3 linked regions of the Daphnia pulex genome follow. The main gene of each other region encodes a partner of the protein of the gene in region 3 in a complex. Links are inferred from orthologs where the notes say so. Each region holds a gene or a part of one and is shown on either strand. Other genes may lie near its edges.

Region 1 (3,752 bases), on a different chromosome or scaffold from region 3:
CTTTAAAAATTGTGACAACTTCCTTACTTGTTTCAGATCATCCAAAACATTTGGTTCAATGTTGTACCTCTCAGTCATTCGTTCCGCTGGCGTAAAGGCAGATTGGCGCATTCTTATTTGCGAAAGCAATTCGTTTAAGCGACCCTGATGTTGACAGTGTAAAACATTATTCTATAAACTTAACATTTAATTAGAAAAATATATATGTTACTCGAAATTGCGTAGGGATGCTTAGTTCATTGTGCACAGACTCTAGCTGCACCCGCAAACGTTCCTCTTCTGGCTGTAGAGCAAAACCTTCTTTCCGAGAACATTCTTGCTTTATAAGAACTTTGAGGATTCGATGTTGCAAGTCGATGTATCGTCGTCGCTGTTCACTTAGCGCAACCGATGTTTCTGATGCACGAGATTGCAGGCTTGCTAATTCCTCAGCTAACTTGTCCAGGGTTCCTTGGTGTCGTCGAGTCTCTTTCTCCTGCAATGATTTATTTTTTTCAACTCAACTATTTGCGTAGTGTGAATAAGTTAAATATAGAAATGCGAACCTGTAGGTGTAAATGACGAACAAGGTCACCAAATCCGATCAGTGGTATGGGTATGAAGTTATCGTGATCAGGATTTTCTGATTGAGCTTGTTTCCAAATGCGAGCGTCAATCCCAGCTGGAGGCGATGCTAGATATTCGCGCAATTGTTCGGGTGATGGTCGGACTCTAGGAACACACGAAACGACTCCAAGTGCGCTGAGCTGACCACGAGCCGACTGCATCATCCCAGATGGTTGTTGATTCCAAAGGAAGTTAGACAATTCAATGGCAGGCACTTTATGAATTGCGCCAGTTGCTGAGCGTTCTTGAACACAAATCAAAACCTCTGTCTTATTTGTGTCTAGGCCAGACACGCCCTCGACGGACACATTCAGATTGGGTTTATTGCCCAGCGCCGTAGTTATCACACTGACTAACTGAGCTTGGTCTCGCCTGCAAATTGAATCCATAAATAAATCTATATGCAATTACGGTTTTTATAATTTTATCTACCGAATATCTGTTTCGGGTTTGTTAAACAGCAAAACAATTATTCCATCTTCATTCTTTCCTTGTGGTAGTTTGCTGTAGCCAATGGCTTTAAAGCGACACAATGAATTCTCTGCAGTATATTGGATAGCACTAGCCGTGCCAGAGTAAAATCCTAGACACCAATAACAATGTGAGTAAAATGAAGACATTCTAATATTTAAATTGAACCGCAATTAAGGTGGAGTCAAACCTTTTCCGGTTCCCCAAGCTGCTTGAAGGAGATTCCAACGAGCCAAGATTGCATCGCGCTCATCACCGTAAATGTTACAGTAAAGTACGGATGAGAGAACAGATTCGACAACAGTACCGGCTTGCTGAGCAGGAGCAAACGTTTGTTGTTGTTGTTGACCAAACAGGCCTGTTGTTGGGGCTGTACTTCCAAATGTAGTTCCCAAAGAAAAGCTACTAGAAGCTGGTGTTGTTATCCCGGTTCCTCCCAGAGATGTTCCAAAAGATCCAAATCCTAATACAGAAAAGTAGTCAAATAATTCGTTCCAAGTCATTCCATAAAAAAATATTACCTGTTCCAGAAAAAAGTCCGGACGACGATGAGACAGCAGGGGCTCCAGTGCCAAAACCGAATCCAGCGTTGCTTGTCTGTGGCTGCCCAAAGCTGAATGATGGAGCTCCACCAGTATTAGTTCCACCGAATCCGAAAGCAGGTGTAGTGGTATTTGTTTGTGTTGCACCAAATCCAAACGATGGAGCAGCTGTGCTAGTTTGGGTGGTACCAAATCCAAACGCTGGAGCACCTGAAGTAGGTTGGGTACTGCCAAAACCAAAAGAAGGTACTGTTGCAGTGGTGTTAGTTTGTTGAGAGCCAAATCCTGATGTTGAAGCAGAATTTTGAGGAGTTCCAAATGAAAAGGACTGATTTGCTGTGCTAACTTGCTGCACACCAAAGCCTCCAAATGGAGTAGTACCAGTCTGACCAGTACCTCCAAACAGCCCTCCTAGAAGTGAAAATGAGTCAAATGCATTGCAACACATAAGTTTAATTCTATAAAATTTTATTTGTTATCTCCTATTTCTATGATAAAATAATGAACAATTCTCAATCAGTGTTGTGCTTGAACAAAAATGATTGCAGCATTTGGTTGGACTAGAAAATGTAATCTCAAGAAAAACTAATAAACAGAAAATAAATGAAAAAGCCATGCATTGTAGCATGTTCAACAACGAAGGCAAAATGATTTCACTTAGATAATTATCATTCAAATATATAGTAATGCTGGAGTTGACACTAGTTTGTGTGTATTACCTGTGTTGGATGTAGTAGACTGGGCTGGTTGGAAAAGACTTCCACTAGAAAATGCCATTTCAAGAATAAGTTATCCTTACTTTCTTGTATAAATCTTATTTGGTATCTGTCTAATTGGTAAAAAAGTCGACAAGCCGATTTTCAATGATATCGTTAGCGTTCACGTTCAAAACTTGAAACTACATTTTTTCTGTGGAAGTAGCGAGAAGAAAGGAGGTATATGCCATCTAGCGGTTAACGATGAAGAACCAATCCTTTAACTTTGGCGGAAGACAGAAAAGCGAAAGTCCACCGCAAATATTTCTATTCCGTTCAACCGAAGAAATTTAAATCAACCTCGTCATTCCCGAAGGTCGTCCATTCTCTCCCCTTTTACACGCAAAAAATTAACACAAGAAATTGATCAGAAAACAAGTTTATTAATGATGATTTAACCAAGACAATTTGCATTACATTCCAATCAATTATTCCAATTTAAGAATGAGTGACGGTTGACAAACGAAATTAAACTGGACGGCAGGTCGTCGAATGGGATTCCATGACGGCTCACGACTTGGGCAGCTAAACATGTGAGGGGCCGCACTTTATGAATCAGTCTTTGAAGGGGGCCGTTCACATATGACGTCACGGGCCGAGGGGGGGGAGGGGGGTGCACCTTGTATGACGAATTGTGACGAGGGGGGGTAGGGGGGGTATTCACAGTGGGACGTCACAAGGCACTACACAAGCGCCACCAAGTGGGATATGTTGGCAACTTCCTAAATTTCTTTTAGTTTTTTGGATCGTTAGAGCAAAGCACCTCGTTTGCTTGACCAATTAAGAAAATAATGAACAACATTGTGTTCTGTATTAAAAACTACAGAAAATACAGAAAATAAAGAATTTTTAGGGGCTCAAACAATTTTTAAAAAGGGAGGGGGGTATCTGACTTTGTGACGTCATATTAGAGGGGGGGTATACCTACTGTGATGAATTGTGACAAAGGGGGGAGGGGGGGGGGTGTAAAATCGTCAAAAAGTCCGTGACGTCATATGTGAACGGCCCCAAGGTAAACATTTGAGATCCCGTTTTCAGCCAGTTCTTTTTCCTTTAGTTTAAAGAGGTCCAAAGGTGTTATGCCCACATCATCGGGCTGGTCGATATGAGCATCCGAGTCCAACAACTGTAACTGGATGGCGTCTATGGTGTTGATCGACCAGCGCTCCCATTCAATACTGGCCAGCACGTGAAGGGCCGTCATTCCGTTGGACGAGGTGGCACTTGGGTCGACTCCGAGTTCCAGTAACAATTTCATGACGTTTAGGGGAAAGAGTTTCGTTATAATTGTGTAGGAGCAGCAGGCAAGATGGAGGAGATTGCCCTTTTCGACTATTTTAAATCTGTAGTCGTCTCCAATGAAATTGTAGAGAGTCCG
Region 2 (3,752 bases), on a different chromosome or scaffold from region 3:
ATTGTTTAATCAGTATTATTTCAATTTGGAAAAATGGGAAATTTAGATGTTTTCAAACTTACCGTAAGACTCTTGAGATTTTTTGAATCCCAACAAAGCCATTGTGCGAATATTTTGTTCGGTGAGGGAATTGGAAACCGTTTGGGCCGGGAAGTGGCATAACCAAGATAAAGCATAGTAGGCGTGAGCCAGGGGGACGCTACGAGGGAGGAACTCTGAGCGAATGGTTTCGGCATCTTCGGGACGCAGCTGAAGCTTCTTCTGTGTTAATATAAGCAACTGCTGTACAATCAGTACATCTCGACACAATTCCAACCTGCGAAAGTAACATCATTTTAATTTAAAAAGGTAATGAAACATTTTCTGAATTACTACCTTAAATCAGCCATCTGTCGGGATGATTCGGCTAATGCTCCCAATCCAAGACTTCCATTGAAAAGCAAACGAAAGGAACTTTTATTATTGAAGGAAACTTCGCCAAATTTGGGATCGCCTCCATTCATGCCGACGCTGAGCTGTTGGAGAAGAACAGACAAGGCCAGGCAAATGTCAACAGAAGACAAAGCCATTTGGACAGCGTTGAGCAAATTAATTGATTCGTTCTCCAGCAGTTCATCAGCAATATCCCTGGCAATTTGATCTGCACTTTCCAACTGAAACATTGATTGATCAAAGCGCTTTATTTGCTCCGTTGACAAACTATCGCTGACCACAAACAGAATCTGTAAAAGAACAAAATTCGTCAAAATCTATGTACACAACAAATAAAAGAAATGTTACCTCGAGCAGAGCAGTAAGGCCAGAAGTTGATTGCTGACCCCCGAAAAGCGAAGCAATTCCACTCGAAAATGGCTGCATATCCCAGCGACGGCCTCGTTGCAAAACCAAACTCTCAACCAGATCCAACGGACGCAAAAATGAAACCATTCCTCGTTTAAGTAGAGCATGGAAGCCAGTTTCGTCATCAATGAGTAAACCAACAGGAATTGGCCGCTTCAAATGATACTGAACAGCATAGGCGTAGAATTGGGCCCAGTATTTGGCCGAAAGTTGCAGATAAAGTTCTTCTGTCACATCATCTGCATCGGAAATCTGCTCTTTCAGTTCAACCTCGATAGCCATAATGATGTCTTCTTTTATATCTCCAGGTCTCCTCCTACTTGTCGATGCCGAACGATCAAAAGCTTGCAGAGCCTTACTCAAGGTTGAAATCGAGAATACGCCCGGTTTGAAAAGTGCCTGCATGTACGCTTGTTTAGGGTCAACGACGGTATCGTCGTATTCAATTTCCGAATCGACGCCAGGTTCCAACGCAACCTGTTGCCACTCTAGCAGGGTCGTTTCGGCGAATTCCAACAGATATTCACCCCGCGAAGTGCTCCATAGTGCATAAAGGTGATTTGAAGTCAGGCTGAAGTCGATTAAACGACTATGTTGTGCAGTAACGGATGACTGGAAATTGAGCTTGAGTGTAGGGCCCGTCTGTAGATCAATGAGAAGAAAAGATCTATTCTTGCCAAAGGACGAGAAGACGACCAGTTTGAAGTCGACGCCGTCAGGACACCACCGGATTCTGTGAAGAGAGCCAAGCTGCTTGACTGATTTGTCTCCGAAGAATTCAACCAAATCGAACTCCAAACGACACTCCTGGGTTGCTGCTGACCAAATTCGCAATTTCAAGCCTTTGCTGACGGCCAGCACAAGAACGTCGTCATTTGTCGGCAATAAACAAATGCTTGCCGTAGTATCTTCGTTTTCCTGTGATGAGCTTCCTCTTAACACAGTAGGCAGGTAACCAGAAAGTAAACGTGATAAATTTGAGGAAGGCTGCAAATTATATGTGGTAACTGCCGAAGGAGATTGACCCATACGAATGAGAGAAATCGACGAAGTGTTTGCCAAAGCAAACAATGCTTCTTTACTTTTTCCAGAAAAGTAAGATGCAGCAGTGCTGGGGAGTGAAAAATTGGTGGCGGTGCTGTTGATGACCTGGTGGCTCAATGATTCCCTCAACCAGGGAAGGGATGCTTCAGTAAAGATGGATGGTACAGAAATGTTGGTCCCCATTGAGTTGAATGCTGTAGGATCATTGTGTTTTTTTGGATGTGGTAGAACCAAACGATGAACTGAAGATATGGTGGAGACGAGAATAACTACATTATTTTTTGTTTCATGAATGGATGTCCCCTCTAATAATGGAAGGCCTTGAAATCTGATTCGAAGACAGTTGCCGTGTAAGTTCAAGTCTAAACTGTGTTCTACTAGCTCCAGGACATCATTGGAAATTTGCCTGTTCAAAACAAATAATACAGAATGAGTCTTACTTACAGCAGCATTTAAATTATGTAAATGATAGCTGTACCAGCATATGAAACGGTTCCGAGTGACAGTTGAATTGGAATCAGTGAAACAGTATCCTCCTGCTGTGCAACCTTCAGGTAGTTTAATATCTTGGAGTGTCAAATGAGTTCCACCTGGTTAAAACAGAATACAGGTCAGTGTTTAAGAAAAGCGACACCGTTTCGGTTGAAAAAGAAAGAACTGTAGCCGGTGTAGCTCAACAAGTTCACTTGAATTACCCGTATTCAGTAATAGTTCCTTCCATTGTTCTATGCCTGTCTGATCTGGAATTACTTCACGCAATCCGAGAAGAGAAAAGCCAGAAAGATTTCCTTTAAGACAACTAGACATGTTTTTAACTCGTTTCTACAGTTGCAATCGCGCGGGCAGCTGAGAAACAAATTCGTTTCAGACGAATCTAAATTTCCAAACCGGCAAACGGCAGAACTACATTTACCGTTCAGCGCCACCTAGCGATTGAAAACCAAACTCGTTGGTACACTAATTTTATGACAAAATTTGAGTTGAGGCAAAAAGAACGAGTATATTCACTAGCAGGCATGACGCCGTGTATTGCTACAAATTACAACACTGCTTTTGGAAAGCGGCATAATAGAATTCTCCACCAAGTGAATAACAAACATAATTAAATCGACAAAAAATGTTTTTAAAATTGTGGAAGAACAACACATGCGCTGAAGTGGGAAAACGCTAATAATATAATGTACGGGTGCGGCTGAAGGTGGGAAACATAAGTTTAAACTACTCTCTTCTTCTTTTTCCCTAGTAATAGAACTGCGTATATTTCGAATTCTGAAAAGCAACTAAGGACCCCGGGGCAACAAAAGAATTCAATCACAATTCTAAGTTCACAATGCGGTGATGCTTAGTTTCTGTTTATGTTCGATATTGTCCAGTTCATGCAAAACCTGAAAAGTGACAAAATGACCAAGTTAGTACATTAAATTCAAAAATTGTAATATTTATTTTTTTTTCATCACCTCGAGAATGGTGGCCATAGACCAGGCTTGAGCTGGACTCGAATCATTACAGACTTTGCCATTTTTATTGGTAAGCTCGGGAAGTGAGCGCCAGGGCGATTGTTGAATTTCGACAAAGTGGCGCGATAAAATAGACTTGACTTTGCGGATGGTTTTTCTGAGTTCGGAGACTCCGCCGACCAATGGAGCGAAATAAAGCATGGCTTGGAGTAGGAAACCAACTGGCCAGAGCCACTCGGGTCCTTGGTGGTAGTTGAAACCGTGAGCCGTGCTGGGATCATCTCCTTCGTCCGAATTGCAATAATCTGGTCGGTAGGACCAATCAGAATTGTCCAAAGTTGCCATGCCCAATGGTCCTAACAAGTGCTGAAGAGCCATTTGTAATGCTTGCCATGCTCTCGATGGTGTAAA
Region 3 (3,752 bases):
CATCTTCATCCTCTCGAATACGAGGAGCCGATTTGCGAAGTGGTGCTGACATCCTCATTCGCATCTTGCCACCAACCTGGGCACTGATGGGGGTGCTCGATACTAGTGCTGGTTCTATTTGAGACAAGTTTGCTGGAGCTGGTCGGGTGACAATCTGTGCCGGAGTACCGACAGATAATTTGGAAGTTGGAGGTCCCAAATTTGGACGTCGGCGACTCAAACCAAACCCTTTAAACACAAAGCGAAATTATTATAACGTTAAGCAATTCATAACTTTTATCAATTTACCAGTGAACGAAAGTTCTTCGCCTTGTAAAGAAGTGGATCGTTTACTGTTGGATGCAGCAGGAATCCTTTTTGCATCTCTCACTGGTGTTGACATGGCTTCGAGTGCTTGAAGGATTCGTTGCGCTGAACTACTAAGTACAACATTTGACGAACTGGTAGAAGCAACAGAACTCGAAGTGGATGGAGCTGAAGACGCAGGCCTAGCCTGAATTCGACTTCGCACGTATGGGAATAGTGCAGCTGAAGGTTGTAAAGTGGCACGGCGATAAGCTGAAGCACCACCGTAAGTCGTCTTACCAGCATAAAATGGTGAGTCTACAACACTCTCGTTCATTAAAGACCGCCTAGCCTCCTGTTGGAAGTAATAAAAGAATAGAGTCCAGACTTTGTTAGTAAATTAAATTCAAGACTTACAGCAGCCGTAGGTCCAAATGAAGTTATATTGAAGCGTGGTCTCTTGCTTCCATACGATGAAAGTTGAGGTTGGGAAAGGTCTCGCTTGGCAGCTGAACGATTGAGTGAAGTGTCGTCTTTGTCGAAAAATGAGCCACTAGCCTCTTCTACAAATCAAAAACAATACATTAGACTCATTTGTAAGCAAAATTCTTGACTACAAAATGATGAAAATGTCATTAGAAATCTACCTGTATCCTTGTGGAACCTTGATTCTTCTGTGGGAGTTATACCTGAACTTGTATCATGACCAAAAGTATGAAGGCTGAGAGTTTTGCGTCCACGGCTATTTTTTAGGTCAACTGCTAGGGACTTGCTCAAAGAGCTTCCAATGATTTGCAGTGAAGATTGATTAATAGAGAGAGGTTCAGCAACTCCCAAACTTGATAGTTCTATATTTCTGCTCTCCCTCTTATGCTCGAGATGTGGTAACAATGAGGAACATCCGCTAGTTGACTCTGAGTTGGAGTCATCATCACCTGTCAGAGGAAATGAGATGTGAGATGTCATAAAAGTTTGAAAATCAGTGTTTAATACAAACCATTTGTTTGAACGATTTGTTCTCTTGAACTTGATTCAACCACTACTGGCTCTGGAAGTAAGTCCAAAGAAGGGACATTTGGACGAGCTCTTACTGCAAGTCAAACAAAAAAAGAAGCATGTGTTACACAGTTTGAAGGGAGCAGAACATTGATGAAAAAAACTTACTGTTGCTTTGTTCTTTGGATGTCCCAGGTGGTCTGCGAAATATGAAGGACTCTCTTTCAACACCTTCTCGGTGGGAGCTGTTACCATTGCTGGATGAACTGGTTGACGGCACAGGTTGTTCTTCCTCAACTTCATCATTTTCACTATCTTCTTTTTTAGCTGATGTAGATTGTAACCAATTCACCAGCCAAGAAGGTTGTGGTAACAATCCAGTAACTGAATCTGTTACTCGCCTCAAAATCGACTGATAGACAAAAAGCCGGATATAGTTGGGGTTTCACAAACTCACACAAACGTATTTTAGTCTTACCTTGGGCCTTTCGTATGGTTTTGAATTTTTGCTCCGCCTTGCCTTGACTTTACCTAAATTATCTTCCCACATGACTGTTTTAGAAATTATCAATCAATACGGAAATCAGATACTGTTGCAAGAAAACAGCTTTAACCCGTCGCACCACGACCCACACGCGGCGAGGAAAAAAGTGCCGAGAAAAGATGGCGGATTTTTTTTAAGTTTAGAAAGATCTGATTGGCGGTTACGAGAAACAAATGAAGAACGATGTTGCTCAAAGAACTTATAAATTTATCAGTAGAGGGCGTTTGTGACGGGCTATAGTTTGGCTCCAGCGGAACCCTTCTCGACCATTCTCGATGAATCAACCGATCGAACTAAAAGAAATTGCCTAATTCGCATGCGGTAACCCCCTCCCCCCATGCATGAAATTAATTTTCATTTTGGCTAGCGCTGTTACATAAAACAGCCACTAGTAATGTGTGCTGCAAATATAGGTATCACGCTGCGCCATGTAAAAAAAAACGCAAGTTCTTTAATGCAGTAGTGCAGTATTACGTAAAAGTATGATCAGTATGATTGCATAATCTTAGAACTTGCACCCATTTTTTTCTGATTTTCGTTCTTTTAGTCAACGGTACAGATTATTCATTTTCAAAATTCTTTTTTTTTCTTCCACACATGATAAAGAGTCAGCAAGAGATAAGCTCCTGATTTTATTTGAAAATAAATACAAATAACCGTTAAATGAAAAATAATGAAATAAAAAGCTGAACCGTGTACAATGTAGAAGGGGGAAAAAAAGAGTGAAAGACAAAGAAAAATAGTTTTGACTGCAAACCCACAAATGAATAACAAAAGAAAAATCGTGATAGCGTGCTTGAATATTAAGTTAAATGACACAAAAACTAAATTAAATAGATATGAGACAATCTCATTTCAAATCTCAACATATCAAACAGGGCATTATAGGAAAAACAAAATTATTGGGGTCCTGTGCTTCGTTGATCTGCGTTTTCTTTGTTGGGACCAACGGTGTCATCTTGAGACCCTTCAGAAAGCAATTTCATCATATTGGAAGCAGCCTGTGCAAAGAATTAACAAAAAGAACATCAATTAAATAATTAACTTAAGCTGATTGCCAAAATATAGTCAAGTTATGATTACGTTATCATGGGCTTCTTCCAAAGTGGCACCAAGTCCGTGCGACACTTGCGGAGGATTTGTATTCAAGGTCACAAGGCTAACGAAATCTCCTTTCTTGCCCTAATAATATTACATTAATTCCAACAGTAAATTAAAATTAGTTTTTAAAATGTTTATTACCTTTGGAAAATCGGAAAACTCGACCTCGTATTCCAGTACTTGGGCCAAGTACCTTAGACGTATTTCCGGGCGCAACCCTCCAGAAGTCTAAAGATTAAGTAATAAATATATGATTTTAAGAAGTGTTGGCAGAGGCATAAGAAAAACATGCCTTGGGCGGACGAGACGATTGAGTAGTTTCTTTAATTCCAGTGGCATTCGATGAATCGGTTATGAATGGAGAGTCAATTTTCCTACTCTGTCCGCCTCCTAATAAAAGAAGACCCGGAACCATTTGACGACCTGTGCAATTGCTGTTGGAGAGTGGCGCATCCTGTAAGAGTGTCTCAACAGCAACTGATGTATCGCTAGAAGCAGATGACTTGCTGGAATCACCAAGAGCATCCAGCGCCTTGAGAGCAGCAGCGCGTTTGGCGTCTTTTTTTTTAGTTCCAACACCTGTTGCCGTTACCGAGCCAACAGCAACTTCTACAACAAATTCGGGGGACTGACGGGGGATTCCCCTTTCTGACAAAACAGTAAATACTGGTTCCTTTTCTTTCCTCGCCTGCTGCAGTTGAACTAGTTGAGATATTGGATCTTGAGGTTTTGTGCCAAGGCAACCGTTAGATGCAGATGTAACATCCTATTAAACACACGGTATAAATAAGCAAGAATGAAATTATTTGAAAGTAATCAGACAAAC

The links. The genes of interacting proteins can lie anywhere in the genome.
Region 1: nuclear pore complex protein Nup153-like (region 3) and nuclear pore complex protein Nup54-like share a complex: the UniProt entries of both Drosophila melanogaster proteins name them as parts of the nuclear pore complex. The link is inferred for Daphnia pulex from reciprocal best matches to the Drosophila melanogaster genes Nup153 and Nup54.
Region 2: nuclear pore complex protein Nup153-like (region 3) and nuclear pore complex protein Nup160-like share a complex: the UniProt entries of both Drosophila melanogaster proteins name them as parts of the nuclear pore complex. The link is inferred for Daphnia pulex from reciprocal best matches to the Drosophila melanogaster genes Nup153 and Nup160.

What each region holds. Positions count from the first base shown.
Region 1 is NC_060022.1:6,652,873-6,656,624, forward strand, and holds the start of nuclear pore complex protein Nup54-like, read right to left. Parts: upstream 2,568-3,752; 5' UTR 2,397-2,567; coding exon 2,339-2,396; intron 2,031-2,338; coding exon 1,599-2,030; intron 1,541-1,598; coding exon 1,268-1,540; intron 1,190-1,267; coding exon 1,039-1,189; intron 979-1,038; coding exon 546-978; intron 476-545; coding exon 212-475; intron 145-211; coding exon 28-144; intron 1-27. UniProt on the Drosophila melanogaster protein: Component of the nuclear pore complex (NPC), a complex required for the trafficking across the nuclear envelope. Essential for the nuclear import of nuclear localization signal (NLS)-containing proteins in an importin alpha/importin beta-dependent manner.
Region 2 is NC_060017.1:6,360,019-6,363,770, forward strand, and holds the start of nuclear pore complex protein Nup160-like, read right to left. Parts: upstream 2,815-3,752; 5' UTR 2,692-2,814; coding exon 2,580-2,691; intron 2,475-2,579; coding exon 2,363-2,474; intron 2,291-2,362; coding exon 781-2,290; intron 723-780; coding exon 376-722; intron 317-375; coding exon 63-316; intron 1-62. Other genes in the region: glycogen debranching enzyme-like, read right to left, coding at 3,210-3,269, 3,342-3,752. UniProt on the Drosophila melanogaster protein: Functions as a component of the nuclear pore complex (NPC). Involved in poly(A)+ RNA transport. Required for nuclear import of Mad. May play a role in double strand break DNA repair. Essential for nephrocyte development.
Region 3 is NC_060021.1:253,129-256,880, forward strand, and holds the start of nuclear pore complex protein Nup153-like, read right to left. Parts: upstream 2,114-3,752; 5' UTR 1,832-2,113; coding exon 1,760-1,831; intron 1,694-1,759; coding exon 1,450-1,693; intron 1,379-1,449; coding exon 1,283-1,378; intron 1,221-1,282; coding exon 933-1,220; intron 849-932; coding exon 703-848; intron 641-702; coding exon 289-640; intron 229-288; coding exon 1-228. Other genes in the region: double-stranded RNA-binding protein Staufen homolog, read right to left, coding at 2,725-2,826, 2,909-3,007, 3,068-3,154, 3,219-3,692. UniProt on the Drosophila melanogaster protein: Component of the nuclear pore complex (NPC), a complex required for the trafficking across the nuclear envelope. Functions as a scaffolding element in the nuclear phase of the NPC.